Linked DNA regions of Mytilus edulis. The protein of the gene in region 1 purifies or fractionates together with the protein of each later gene. This does not show direct contact. Links are inferred from orthologs where the notes say so. Each region holds a gene or a part of one and is shown in the gene's direction. Other genes may lie near its edges.

Region 1 (8,097 bases):
TGTTTTGACTAGTTTATGATATCGAAAACCCTGGTGTAATAATTTTTCAGTAATACATAAATTTCTCTCGTTAAAATCTAAAAAATTGTTACATACACGAGCGAATCGCACATATTTGTTTGTTTTCATAGTGATTAAGATTAAACACGCCTAGTAAACCATCTAATCTCAACCAAATGTTGAGACGGTAAAAAGTATTCTAGCACTTCCTGTTGAGCTTTTCTGGTTCAAAATATTCAAAATAAACACAGGGTAGGTCGAAATTTCGTCAATTTACTGAAAATCAATGTGTTTTTTGTAAAATCGGAGAATGTCATGCCATAGATATTGGAATTACAGTTTGTCTCGTGTATAACACAAATGAATATGATTTAAAATGACATCGTAATGACTTTTCTCCAGCAGGTAAATGTGGCCAGCGCAGTCGGCTATTGACAAAATGACAGTGATATCATTGATAAACTAGCATATATATTAGTAAATAAGTATTTTTCTAAAACATTATAAACATAAAATTACAGTTTGTTCTTTTTCTTTACTAATATAATTTCCTAAAGCTAAATATGTTATAAAGTATGTCATGTTGAGATTTTCTGGTATCGGTTGAGATATTCTGGAACAATGTTGAGATCTTCTGGTGAATGAAATTTTCAACTATAAAAAGAAGATGTGGTATGACTGCCAATGGGACAACTGTCCACAAGAGACCAACATGACACAGACATTGACAACTATAGGTCACCGTACGGCCTTCAACAATGAGCAAAGCCGATACCGCATAGTCAGCTATAAAAGGCCCCGATATGACAATGTAAAACAATTTAAACGAGAAAACTATAAAGACCTTATCTGTATAAAAAATAAATAAATAACGGAAAACAAATATGATTCAATATGCAGCACATAAACAAACGACAACCACTGAATTACAGGCTCCTGACTTGGGACAGGCACATACATAAATAATGTGGAGGGGTTAAACATGTTAGCGGGATCCCAACCCTCCCCCTTACCTGGAACAGTGGTATATATAACAGTACAACATAAGAACGAGCTATAAAAATCAGTTGAAAAAGGTTTAACTCATCAGATGAACAAAAATGCAATTGGACGTGGCCGGGTTCTTGAACATCCCGACAACAAAAAGACACTAGGAACAGATTTGAGAGTACTCGCAGTTATCTGACAGCTAGTTAAAAGCCATTAACAACTAATAAAAAAATCATGCATCTAAGACTAAACTATCAATCCGTACACATCAAATTAATTTAGTGTAAAGACGTCATAAACAGTCAGAGAAAAACATGACCTTGTGTAGCTTACAACTGTCAAAATTCATAAACTTGCCGTATATTGTTTGACATTTCAACAGTCATTTTAATCTTGTCTGTAGTTATGACAGCAGCTTCTAAAGAGGCCTTTGGTTGTAATAGAGTCTAAATAGTAAATAGCTGTGTTTTTTAAGTACTAGTATTAAAGTTCTAACGCTGGAGATTAATTCTAGCGTTTGAGATGCAGTTTTGCACAGAAGCTTTAACGTCAATAATGTTGTAATTGACATCTCCAGGGCTATTAATTATTTATTTATTTATGTGTTACATATTTGTTGTTCGTTCATTTTTTTTTATATTTACAAGGCCGTTAGTTTTCTCGTTACAATTGTTTTACATTGTCATTTTGGGGCCTTTTATAGCTGTCTATGCAGTATGGGCTTTGCTTATTATTGAAGGCTATACGGCGACCTCTAGTTGTTACTTTATGTGTCATTTTGGTCCCTTTTGGAGAGTTGTATCATTGGCAATCGTACCACAGAAAGAACATTGATAATAAAACGGATACATACAAATTGAAAACAAATCGCGTAAGAAAAGGCAATTATTGGTATGTTAGTTTTCTTTAGTACCATGAATATTTTTGGCTCAACTTCTCAATCATGATCAGGCAAAATTATTGGCTTTTTATTCTGACATTTTTTTTTATTCCTCTTCCGTCCCATTTTTCGGCATATAACACGTCCGTTTTATTTGGCCATTACATCACGGACTCCTAACGGATGCAAATTTTGTAAATCGAAAACTTTTGTTTATCCTTTCGACGTTCGTTCGAGCTATCTGGTAAGGTGTGACCACAGTTTTTAGCAGATATCGCATGCTTAGCATACACACAATTTTTTTTTAACTATCTCCCACAATTAAGCTACGTCGAATCCAGTTTTAAAATATTTAAAAAGAAAACTGAATTAATATTCAGAAATGGATATTCATTAAATTCTTTCATTTCATCAAAAGTTATTATTTAAAGTAGATAATTGCAAAGGAGATGTACATGCAATATAGATTACCTCTTACTGTCATAATCTGAAGGAGAACTGGAGGACAAATGTTGAACTATCTCCTGACACTTTAAGACTGTTCTAGCTTAAACAGTTCTAATCAAGAACTGATTTGGTCATTGGTAAGTTCTACCTAGAACTGATTTACACAGTTCAATCTGGAACGACAGTTCCACGGCTAAAAAAATCTACGACTAGAACAGAACTGCGACCTGATTTCGCCACGAACGCATCACGATTGTTTTGAACATGTTAAAAGTTGGCTACTCTCAACACGATCACCAAGAACTCATCAAGACCGTAACACAACCAAACTGCACTACGATCGTCAATAGCATTATTTTTTTAGAAATCGTAGTGCGAGACCTAGTGTGACGGGGCCCGGGTTATAATATAAATGTTGCTGAATATTACCAAATATTAAGGATGTGCCCTGAATGCAGTTGTAAACAAATATCTAAGTTTTAATTATTTCAATACAACACCTGTGATTACACTAAGTTGGACGTCACTTATAATAATTACAAAGCAATTTTAAAATCGTCATATTTTTTTTTTGTGATAAGTATTATAATGACAAAAATGACATCTTTTACTCACATTTAAATTATCCTCTCCCTGAAATAATGTGTAAGAAAAAATAAACCTAGAAAAGGGGTCCTGTTCGATTGTTTAGTTTTTAACTATTTTATTTCTTTATAAATGTACGCATTTTCGGCATCAAATATTGTCTGTTAGGAATCGAATTCATCCAAATCATATGAATGAATAACCATTGTAAAATAATCTTATTTATATTTGTAAGGCATGCATTTTTCTATCGGCAATGCTTAAAATTGTATCTGTATTTAGATTTTATGTTACCCTAGACAGAGAACATGAATCAGGTTAACCATAAAAAAAGGTAAACTCGAATAGTACAGCGCAACCAGAAAGTCTCAACATTGTGACAGAAAGATTCAACCAATACCTTTATATCTCAACCAATTTTAATTTTTTTATTTTTTGCTCAGAGTAGGCTTGACAAACACATATTTGTGCAATTTACAGACGTGGTTATCGTAAAGCCTAAAAAAACACAAATTATTGACATATTTTCTTGCTAAGTCATTAATATCATAGCACTTCTATCGTATTTAAAGAATGTAAACATTATAATCCGTAGGAGAAAAGTGATTGTGACTTCAATTTAAAATATTTTAAACCAAGAAGAGACATATTAGTTACAATTATGATTTGTCTATGGCATGACATTCTCCGATTTACAAAAAAAGTCGTTAATTTTCAGTAAATCGACAAAAAATCGACCTACCCTGTGTTTATTTTCAATATTTTGAACCAGAAAAGCTCAACAGGAAGTGCCAGAATACTTTTTTCCGTCTCAACCATTTGGTTGAGATTAGATTGTTGGTTTACCAGGCGTGTTAAAACACAATGTTGACTGCTGCACCCCTATCAAGTTTTGATATTTTTATCTATCTTTTTGTGTTTGTTTTGTTCACACATCGTTATCAATATAATGGAATTGTATGCGACTGTATGGTTTAATCCACCATTTATACTTCAGAAAATGCCTGAACCAAGTCATGAATATGACAGTTGTCATCCATTTATTTGGTGTTTGAAAATTTGATTTTGCCAAAAATGATTTGCTTAGGAATTTTCCGTTTCGAAATTTCCTCGGAGCTAGTTCGGTATTTTTCTTCTTTTTTAAAACTTTTTCCTGCGATTTAATTTGAATAGTCACTAGGTGCTGGGACTATTATAATATCATTAGTATAATAGTCCCAGCTAGCTGCTTTTTTTTTAACTAGCTTTCGATATAATAACTTAAGTAACAAACACAGAAAGCGCTTCTCCTGTTTCACATATATATAGAGTATTTTCCGTTTGTCCATGATGAATTCTGCCGGGGATATCGTGAGCGGCGTCACTTGTAAAATAGTTTAAAACCTTTAGACTAAAGTTGCAAAACGTAGTAATTTTTTGTCACTTTACAGTTTTTTTCTAACAAACCACCTTTTGTTGTATCATTTGAACCCATGAGTCTATGATGAATAAAAGGAGATGTGGGGTTATATGCCCATGACATAGTAACCCAGCTACAAAATTAAATAACCACAAAACCAAATTTTAACGTGTCACTATGACATGGACAAAAGTTAAAATTATTTGTTTTATGACTTCTACAGTAGTGAAATTAAAATAAAAAATACAAATACGAATTTATGTAAAAGATCAAATTTTTTTAAGGATATGAACAAAAAGTTTATTACCAGATTACAGATCCAACACAGTATATTGACCACTTGATTATCTTGTTGAAACAAAAAATCGTAAATGATTCTGTGATTACTTGGACTACCCCATGAGGGGCCTCTTTTAAGAATCGGACATATTTCCGGAACATTTCTCCAGATTTGATTTGGTTAATAAATTTGAATCGTCGTTTCCTGTTTATATTTCACCACGTCAAAAAAATAGAAATTATATAAAAATTATGTCTAAACTAAGCATAAACACCAACTTTACATACTCCCTCTACACTGTTTGCGACAATAATGTTCTGTCCTCTTGATCAGGTAATGCAAAACTCGAATGCTTTGGTTGAATTAACAAAAATATCTTGAACATGTTAACATGGTTAAGGTCACAAGAACTTTTGAAGAAGTGACATACACAGTGTTTCATACTTGTTATGCAATTTTCTTGGCATATCTCACTATGATCGGGAATATAGTGCTATGATTTGCTATAAATTTGTTCATTTATATCCATTGAATGTCTTTATAGTCAATAAAGGTAAACTTAAATAATTATATTGGTATATATACATGTACATGCAGTGCTCTAGCTAGAAATCAAAAGGGGCAGGGTGCCAGTGGAGGGCAGGGCACTTTTTATGATAAGAAAAGGCACTGCCATTTTTTTTGTCTACGTTTCTGTGTGTATCACGAGTTAACGAATCTCTTTTTTTTTTACTGTATATGTTGTTTTTTTTAAATAAAGATGCATTTTAACTATAGTCTTTATTTCATTGTTTGTGTAGTTATGAATTATATAGTACATCTTCATCAACTTATAAAAGTGTTTATAGTTTAACTTCACTCTACCCATTGTCGAAGAATTTTTTTTTTATCTTTATAAGAATTTCAGCTTTTATATGTTATTTATCTAACTTTGTAGTGTATTACTAATTTATCAATGTTTAGAACATGGATTGCTAAAAGTATAATTATCAAACAGAAATTGCAATATATTTTTTTTAATATGTTCAAAGACAGTTAATATCCTTAAGGTAACATTATTATGTTATTATATATTCAATTGGTTCTTTATTCCTTTTTTTGATACTAGATAATATTTTTAGAGCACAAATTTGTAATAAGCTAAAACAGGGGAAGTAACTCCAAAATTAATTTCCAACACGTTTGCGTTAATTAAAAACTGTGCTTGTCGCTAACAAGTTGAGATGGAAGGCATTTCTGTGAAGGCATAGTTTTATTTTGATGACTTAAATTCAATTCTAAAGTCATGAAAGTCTTCATTTATACACTCTTTCATTGTGACTTGGAAATCGAAAATGCCGACCCAACCTAAACACACTTGCTGACACGTTCATCAAAAGTATGACAAAAAGATACATTGTCCTAATTAAATTACCTAGTTATTAACACCTTTGAAGTCTTTATCATTGTAATTGATTGTAATGACATGATTAACCTGGGGGCAATCACACAGGTGTCATATATGTAATTAACTTGGAGATCAGAAATCGATGAAACAAAAAGCAATTTTACCAAAACGGCACAAGAGAATTTTGGAAAAAGACGTCAGGGCAGAAGGGCGCGGATGAAGGCACCCAGGGCGCGGCTGAGGGCACCCAGGGTGCGGCGCCCTTCTATTTTGGGCTAGCGAGACCACTGTACATGTATGTTAATAGGGGTGAGGCACTTGCAAGGCTAATATGAGGCAGGCATTACCTGTAAATGGGGACGAAGTCTGTATGAATTATTTTTTTGAACCTTAAATATTTGTTAAAAAAAAGAAACGGAAATACCGTAACGTTTCCAATTTTGGTTCTGTTGTTAGGGATTTTTAGTTGTGACGTTATTTAAGTTATGACATCATATGCAATGTAAACCAAGAAACGCTTTCATCAGGTAACGTTTTTTCATATCGAGGAATTATAAAAAAAATGAAATTGGTATTGCGTTCCTTTCTATTTTATACTAGACTGATAAATATATATTTTACTCAAAGTTTCACAAAAACGAGACCAGAAAAAGGAAGTACATTGTAGATTTCTGCGCAGATGTGGGAATTCAAAACATGACATCAAAAAAATTGAACGATTTTGAGTTCATTAGTACAATGAAAATTTTGGGAAAATTAAATTTCCTGATTTTTTTAAAATTTTTTTTTATTATTGATTTTTCTACTGTTATTGGGGACTTCGTCCCCATATAATCAGTTCATTGAGTGTGGCCAATGTATCTGGCAGAAACTATTTAGAATACAACACACCTGCTTGATATCATACTAGTATACTGGCCAGCGACCACATGTGTGATTTATGACAACTTATCGATGGGTGTGTAAATATTGACACCTTTGTGTGTTTTTAATGACTCTTTGCAAGCTTAAATTAAGGAAAATACATTTACATGGTGATTGGAATAGTACAAATTTTTATTGATTTATAATACAATACAGATTATATTATGACTTCTCTTGAACTGAAAGTGAATTTTAATATGCGTATTGTTATACGTTTACTTTTCTACATTGGCTAGAGGTATAGGTGGAGGGTTGAGATCTCATTAACATGTTTAACCCACCACAACTTTGCGCCTGTCCCAAGTCAGGAGCCTCTGGCCTTTGTTAGTCTTGTATGATTTTTAATTTTAGTTTCTTGTGTATAATTCGGAGTTTAGTATGACGTCCTTTATCACTGTACTAGTATACATACTTTTTAAGGGGCCAGCTGAAGGAAGCCTCCAGGTGCTGGAGTTTCTCGCTACATTGAAGACCCGTTTGTGGCCTTAGGCTGTTGTCAACTTTATGGTTGGGTTGTTGTCGCTTTGACACATTCCCCATTTCCTTTCTCAATTTTACAATGCAGCGTCCAACAGAATGACTTCTTACTTGAACAAGTTAATTATATATAAAATAGTATATGGCACATAATTGGAAAGCACTTGGTCAAGAGAATAAATGGTATCCAATATACAGTATACCATTCAAGGAAAATTTGTATATGAGAAGAAAATATTTTTATTTGCATCTAGAAATTGTACTGACTTTTTTATTAGTAATTACATTTCAATTAATTATTGTTTTTCTTAATTTCAGGTTAATCTTACCATTATGGCTTTTTAAACACTGACACTATGGTTGCCCTATAGTGGGCATCCAGTCTTTGGCTGGTATCCAGCTGTTAATTGGTGCTTCTTCTTAGCAAATTCTGTGCCACAAATACCAGTATTTATAACCAAGACATACAGTATTTATTTTTCTTCAGTCTACAACTATTAAGTCAACTTTCTTTTGTGATTAAAGTCAAACATTAGACTATATCTGTAAATATGGAGTGTGGGTTGAAGTGTAAATCAAAACGGCATGCATTAGAAGTCAATGCAGCCGTAACAAAGGGGCTGTTAGAAGAAATTCAAGCATACTGTAAACTTTGTTATGCTTCTACACAAGTGACAGATATTTATGGAAGGACAACCCTACATGTGGCAGCATCGTGTGGCAAGTGT
Region 2 (8,223 bases), on another chromosome or scaffold:
TGACCCCCTAAGGAGTTATTGTCCTTTTCTAGTCAATTATTAACAATTTTCATAAAATTTGTAAATTTTTATTAACATTTTCCCCTGAAACTACTGGGCCAAGTTCATTATAGATAGAGATAATTGTAAGCAGCAAGACTGTTTAGTAAAGTAAGATGTACAAACACACCACCATCACCAAAACACAATTTTGTCATGAATCCATCTGCTTCCTTTGTTTAATATTCACAAAGACCAAGGTGAGCGACACAGGCTCTTTAGAGCCTCTAGTTTTTTTTTGTATAAATGTTACTAACTCCTATATACTTAAATTATCGAGAATGCACTCACAGGTGTTTCATTTTGGGATTTGCTCCAACAGTGTTTTTTTTTGCGCTAATTTGAAACACAAATTTATTTTCGCATCCCTTTCATAAGAATTATTGTTATAATATTGAGGGGCAAAAACTAATCCACACAAAGAAAAAACTCCCCTCCAGAAAAAAGAAGAAATTGATTCCGTATATTTATATAATTTAAAAGAGTGACCAAAACTTGATAACTGGATAATTTTAAAAGTCTTATTTAGTGATGGTTTAAAAATGAATAACTATCAAATTGGGTACAGTTGTATTGTGGTACTTTCGCGTCGATGCTATAATGGTAAATTTCTGGTTATTAGATTACTCAGGTTATAAATTTTTTGTAGAACGGATTGGGATCCGAATATCAAATCAAATCAAATCAAATATGTTTATTGGATAATCAATATATATGTACAGTGCACAATTGATGTCTTCCACACAATGAACAGATATTAAAACAATTAATACAAAATAAATGCATATACATTAGAAATAATATCTGGACAGAGCTAATATAAGTTGTAAAACATTAATATAGTTGAAAAGCTTTTTCAATAAAAGTACAGATAGCTTTTGTATCAATTTTATTTAAAGGATACATAATGTTATGTAGAATAGTAGATTCCTTTTCCCTTTTATTTAAATCCGAGGGGTCGATATTTAATTTTTTGAAGAGATCTTGTCTTAAAATTGAAAACTTTTTACAGTATAAAATGAAGTGTTTTTCATCATCTAATAAATCACAAGTCTGACAAAGTCTTGAGTTATGCGGAATTTTTGGTCTATGATAACGACCTTTTTCTATTAAAAGAGAATGTGCACTAATTCTTAACTTAGTCAAATTTTTACATAGTGCTTTTGGAATATTAAAGTCAAGATATTTTTGAAGAGAAAAATTTGTGTAACAAAATGAAAAATATTTAAGCTTTGAGTCAGAATTGTAATTAGAATAATTTTGAAGCTGTTCTTTAATTAGTTGGATGGTTTGATCGTGTATTTTCAATTCTAGATTTTCATTTTCCAAATTCTTTACATCCAATTTAAATTTTTTGCAACTATAATCAATAAATGAATACCATGATTTTGACCCCTCTTTGAAAAGTCCTCTATCTACTTTATACACTTCAGCAAGAAATCTATCAGATGGAAGTTGTTGCAGTCTTATGAAATATTTAAAAGCCAATTTAGTAATAAAATTAATAATTGGTAATCTTCCTAATTCACACCTGGAGGCTAAATTTGATGCCTTTTTATGTACTCCAAGTAGATATTTACAAAATTTATTATGTATTTTTTCAAATGGTATATTATCTTTATTTAAATCTTTTAAAGTAAAATCGGATATCCAAACTTCTGATCCATAGGTTGTAATAGGTCTAATTAGAGAATCAAATAACTTTAGCTTAAGCTTGGTACCAGAGTAATTATAATCTAGAATATTTGATTTAAGACTAAATACTGCTTTAAGAGCTTTATTATACATATGTTCTGCGGCATGCTTTAAATTGCCATTAAATGAAATCAGCATTCCAAGATATTTATATTTATCGACTGTTTCTATATTTTGACCATTAATTTTAAATTTGATGGCAGATTTTTTCTTGCCCTTACTAAAAATCATAACTTTAGTTTTAGTAATATTGACTTTCAACTTCCATCTGTTACAATATATTCCCAGGCTGTCCAGACAAGCTTGTAAACCCTTTTCACTCTCTGACAGTAGAATTAAATCATCTGCATATTGTAAACAATTAAATTGTGTTGTAATGAGTGACACAGGAAATGTTTTTGAAAAATCAAATATTTTTGGCAGATCATTAGTGTATATATTAAATAACAGAGGGCTAAGACCATCACCTTGTCTAACACCCCTATTGGCTCTATGAGCTTCTGAAATAAAGTTTTCTTTTTTTACCACAAACTTTGAATTAGAGTACATATGTTTAATTATCTTATAGAAATTTCCTCCAATTTTAAGATTTAATAGTTTTTTAAGTAATCCTGAGTGCCAAACAGAGTCAAAAGCTTTAGAGAGATCTACAAAACAAGCAAAAATAGGCTTTTTTAATTTGTGTAAATATTTATTTATCAAAGTTTTAATAGTGAAAATATGATCTGCAGTTCTATAATCTGGTCTGAATCCTGCTTGAAAGGGATTATAAAGATTATTTTCTTCCATATATTTATGCAGTCTTTTCTGTAATAATGAGGTGAAAAGCTTGCCAAGACAGCTGGTAAGGCTAATACATCTATAATTATCGCATATGTTTATGTCACCATTTTTGTGTAAGAAGGAAGTACAAGATAAATTCCAAGCATCTGGAAATTTTCCGCTTGATAAAATTCTGTTAAATAAATTAACAATAGGTAAAAGTAATAGGTCTTTTCCATATAAAAGGAATTCATTATATATAAGGTCTATTCCTGGTTGTTTATTCTTCTTAAGTTTTTTAATGCCATCTCTGACTTCTTTACAAATGAATGCATAATCTAAATGTTTATTATTAATATTTTCAATTTCTATCTTCGAGATATCTAAATCAGTATTATTTTCTTCATAAAGCTTTTTTAAGTAATTTGACATTTCAGATAGAGGTATAGGATTTTCTTCTCTATTTGTATTTTTCTTCAGATTATTAATGGTTTTCCAAAATAATTTAGGGTTATCTTCATGAAGAGAATCTAATTTATCAATTATATCTGTTATAAATTTCTTTTTTGTATCTTTTAGTAATTTTTTGTACTCCCTTCTTAACTGGTGGTATGATGTTTTTAAATCATGATTATTAGGATGTTGTTGTAATCTACTTCCAAGATTGTTAAGTTCCCTTTTAAAAAATTTACAATTTCCATTAAACCATTTCTGTTTTCCTTTCTTTTTCTTTCTTTTCCCCTTGAATGGTCTAAAATTAAATGTTTTATTTGCTGAGTCTAAAATTATATTGCTCAGATTTTCAGATAAATTATTTATATCCATTTCAGGATTATTGACTTCTAGTAAAAATTGATCAATTAAAAGTTTTGAATCTTGTACGGCTTCTACAAATTTTTCTCTTGAGCCTGATTCCAAATTGTATTTACCTGGAAGAAGATCACAATCCTTAGTATTAATGTTGTTGTTAATTTGTGAGTATATATAGTTACTGTTGTTTTTTAAACCAGTCCATAATAAACTATGGTCTGAAAGCTCATTTGGTGGAAAGACATGTAAATAAACAAATTCATGAAAAATATCTTCAGAAACTAAAAAATAATCAATACTACTACTTCCTCTTGGACAGTAGTAGGTATGGAACCCCAGCGAGTCACCGTCAATTCGACCATTAAGTATTCTCATCTTTGATTCTATACAAAAATCTATTAGCATTCTTCCCTGTTCATTTATCTCAGGATCAAGGTTGTTTCTTTTGGGTAAAATTAGATCTGATGTATAATTTGTAGGTAAATTGGACTTGCCCTCAGAATTCTGGTGGTAGTCTGTCTCATCAAGTTCTATATAATCTATTAAATTAGCAGTTCTACTATTACAGTCTCCCATGATTATAACTTTACCCAATTCTGAGTATTTATTCACTAAACTAGATAATGAATCAAAAATTTTATCGTTTTCTGGACATACTGACTTTGCCCTTGGATTTATATATACACAGCCTAAAAAAATATCATGTGTAAGACCACATTTATCTTTGTCTAATTTAATAAAGATGTAGTTTTTACTTTGGGCTATTTTAATGATAGCATTACTTTTTTTGAATTCATTTTTAAAATAAAGAATGATTCCACCTGATCTTCGTCCTCTTTTACCTTTTTTCTTAATTCCAGGTTGGTGAAAGCATGTATAATTTTTAAAAGATATCGATGACTCGCCGTGGGTCCATGACTCCACTATTCCAAAAATATCAAATTTACTACAATTTATATCATTTAACTTTTGACTAGAGAAACCATTTATATTCCAGCATCCTAGCTGAAGCATTTTATGTATATATATATTAAAACATAACCACAATACTGATTTTGTGAGACCCGATGACATTGATTAGCATTTTCATTATGTATAAACAAGCATCAATCATATAAGTTGTAATGAAAGGTGTGAATTTTTTTTATATTTCACTTGTGTGTGTAAATTGTCATTAATAATATAAAGTTGCAAATGTGTGTAAAGAGGCATAACTCTGACTGTTTAAAAAAGTACTGTAATATTACAATTAAATAGGCATACCTGGTCATACATCTTGTTGTTTATTGTACACAATTATTTTTGATATTATTATCATCTAATTCTTTCAAACGTTTGACGAATTGTGAAATACACCTTATTCATTTAAAATATATTTTGACACCGAAAATATAATTTGGCATGAAGAAAGATTGAAAAATGAAATATAAGATTATGGAGAGTTAAAAGGTGAACAACAAAAAGAAAAAAATGAACAAGCAGTTATAACTCACCTACCCCAAAAATGGCATAGTAACTAAAATAAATAATTTGAACGGACAACATGGGCGATGAAATGCCTGATTTATATGTCCAACGGCTGTTTTTCCAGACAAGATGGGGCCGTAGGAATGACTGACTATAATAGCTAGAACTATACACCTTAACAAATTTTATCACTTTTCTATTGTGGCGTCAGATATTTTGTATTACAACGTCCAAATTTTACGGGAACCTGTATGTTTTTCACCGGAAAAGATGGTCAATTTCGCACACCTTTATGCCGTCATTTACCAGATAGAAGACACGCCTATGTCCCTGCTCTATTGAAACTTTCCAGCACTTTTCATAAACGTCATTATGTAGGGTAGTATAGAAATAATTAATGTTCCGTAAGTTCATAATCGTGATTGTCGTAGGACTGAGGGAGGGTGACCCTTGTCTTTTAGATTTTAATTTCCCAAATATTTAGTGCAGTATGTGATAAAACTTTTTTAATCGTTTGCTCAACATGTGTTGGAAATTTCTATGCATACATTTTTGTCACGTGGTGATGGAAGTCACATGACAGATTTGTCTGAAAACCGTATCTTGGAACTGGCCTTTAGTCTTGGGTACCAGCTTACTACAAGAACAAGGCACTAAATTAAGATTAATGCACATGTATGTTGTTCAGCTATGTACAGGTCAATGTCTTGGGACAGGCATATTCAAAATGTAGCAGGATTTAAGGATGTCTGCTGGTCATGTTTTTGAATTCTTGTCATATTTTCGATTTTCTCAGGTTTTATCCATCCAAATGTATTAAATTTTTTTTACACGACACCCCACTTTTGTCTTCATAAATCTGTTCAATAGATCATTTCAGATTTAGTGATCCGGCGGCATGAAATCCTTGTTATTTTTTCTTGGTTTAAAGGGTAAAAAACAATTCCAATGTTAACAAATAGTAAAGTCTGAAGAAAACCCTTTTCCCGCCATTTTCTAAATGTCTCGTATTTTGAAAACTACACACGAGACTAATGATTTTATTACTTTATTTTGTTTAAATATCAAAGTTGTTTTCATTTTAAGCAACCACATGAAATCCTTGTTATTTTAAATTAGAGCAGCAGACATCCTTAACATGTTTTTGGAAGCAGCAAATCATCTTTACCTGTACATGTGAGGACCATAGACAAAGATATATTTATACTTTGTCACTTGTATGCAAATTTTTCTATAAAAGCATAGTCTGACTTTTACTATTCTTGGAAGATTCTAACTTACTTTTGTCATAGCTCTGACTGTAATACTTGACCTTGTGTGTCTGTCTTGCAATTTTTATCTGACCATTTCCTGCTTCATTGGTCAGTGTTAAGTTTGTATTGCTTGTCAGTTTATCTGACAGATGATATAAGTAATACATTTAGGTCAACTACATTTGGTGTATTACATGGAATAATTGTATAATGTACATGTTGTCTGGCTTGGTTCGAACATCTGACCGTGATCTCATTTTTATGGTCCATTTGGCAATTATCAATATTCATAATTAGGTCTGTTTCTCAGATACTACATGTATAAGCAAAATGGTAACTATAATTGGTGTAATTGATTGATTGTAGTGTGTTCATGTCTGTCCAGCAGGGTTCATCTGATTTTAACCTCATTTGCATAGATCATTAATAATGTTTAGTTAATTTGAAACTTGTTCTAAGTTGTAGTACATTGTAAAATCTTTCAAAATGAATTCAATCATGGTAAAGTAAAGAAGGCGAGACATTTCCTTGTGTGCACTCTTTTTGTTAATAAAAGGTTAAAACATTTCTGATATTGATTATAGCGGTACTTTCATGCAGTTTTTCTATGAAAATGTTAACAAACACAGTTACAGTCAAGTGAAAACCAATTGTTTCCAATTTCAAGAATGATAATTTGATGGGCATTGGGGATGCCTTTCTAGTCTACATTCAGTTATTTACATGATTTAAGACATAATACTTTAAGTTATCCGCATTATCATGATTATGGCACGCATTTTCACTCAAAAAAAAATACAGTAAAAATATACCCAAAATAAAATTGAGAATGGAAATGGGGAATGTGTCATAGAGACAACAACCCGACCAAAGAGGAGAACAACCACCAAAGGCCACCATGCGTCTATAACGCCGTACTGTAAGAAAAATCTGTATTAGGAAGCAGTCTTCAAGTTCAACTGGATTTTAAATAAAAATGTGTTCTACTTGAATGAAAATGGATGTCAGACTAAACTCCAAAACAAATAAATGAACTAAAATTAAAATGATACAAGAATCACAAAGGCAATTTTAAAGATTGTATGTGAAAAACCTTTCCACTTTATTTTTATTACATTATGTTTCAGGGATGTAAAATGGAACAGTATGATAAAGGAGAAGTCAGGATGGTGGAAGCACCTTCTATCTTTAGTCTGAATGAAACTGGTATTGAAATGAAAGTTAATGCAGGAAGTAAAATACGTAATCTCATGGGATTCGCTATGAAAAAAATGAAGGTTTGTGTCAATCTATTTACATCTATATAACATTTTCAAAATACAGGTAATTTAATATAAGGTACTCCATGATCACACAGTTAGTAAACTTAGTTTTGATGAACAAAATGGTGTAGATGTCTTTAAAAGTTTTAAAAAATAGATGCACACATTAAAAAAACCAATAAGGTTTAACAAGCCTTTATTAGATGATTCATTTTGTCTAGTGTATTACAAAGAAAACCTGCTGGTGGTTTTATCAAGAATTGCAAATTTTAAATCCTTCAAGCAGCCTGTCAAATGGTTAACATATACAATGGACCCTACAAATAGTGCTGTGTTTGGTACTACTAGTCTAAATCCTTCAAGCAGCCTGTCAAATGGTTAACATGTACAATGGACCCTACAAATAGTGCTGTGTTTGGTACTACTAGTCTAAATCCTTCAAGCAGCCTGTCAAATGGTTAACATGTACAATGGACCCTACACATAGTGCTGTGTTTGGTACTGTACTAGTCTAAAATATATGTATTGATATTGATTTATTCATGTTCAGTTTTGTTTTGCTTTTTTGAAGGAACCAACAATAAAACAGATGACTTGGAATGGATCTGGGAATGCTATGAATAAAGCTATATCTTGTGCAGAAATTATGAAAAGAAAAACAAAGGTCAGAATAAATTTAGGATTAATGATGTATATACAATGTAATGATGTGTGAGTTTCAATGAGACATTAAACATAATTATACCAGAAAAGACCAATAAGGTACAAAAATGTAACAGGCAAGATCCCTTTTGGTATTGATAATTTACAGATAAGCAATCGTATTTTGTGCATTTAACTTGGTCATTAAAAGTTCAACAATTTGAATTATTGTTTGAGATAACTTTATTTACTTTTTTCAATTATTACATAAATTTTGGATCTTATAAGGACTC

Evidence for each region.
Region 2: the proteins of inhibitor of Bruton tyrosine kinase-like (region 1) and ribonuclease P protein subunit p25-like protein purify together in Homo sapiens (co-immunoprecipitation; 3 studies listed by BioGRID and IntAct, with this or other methods). This does not show direct contact. The link is inferred for Mytilus edulis from reciprocal best matches to the Homo sapiens genes IBTK and RPP25L.

The regions. Positions count from the first base shown.
Region 1 is NC_092353.1:20,080,032-20,088,128, forward strand, and holds the start of inhibitor of Bruton tyrosine kinase-like, read left to right. Parts: upstream 1-4,748; 5' UTR 4,749-4,914; intron 4,915-7,687; 5' UTR 7,688-7,920; coding exon 7,921-8,097. UniProt on the Homo sapiens protein: Acts as an inhibitor of BTK tyrosine kinase activity, thereby playing a role in B-cell development. Down-regulates BTK kinase activity, leading to interference with BTK-mediated calcium mobilization and NF-kappa-B-driven transcription.
Region 2 is NC_092345.1:96,831,928-96,840,150, forward strand, and holds the start of ribonuclease P protein subunit p25-like protein, read left to right. Parts: upstream 1-4,638; 5' UTR 4,639-4,755; intron 4,756-7,153; 5' UTR 7,154-7,162; coding exon 7,163-7,303; intron 7,304-7,859; coding exon 7,860-7,952; intron 7,953-8,223. Other genes in the region: uncharacterized protein, read right to left, coding at 874-4,320. UniProt on the Homo sapiens protein: May be a component of ribonuclease P or MRP.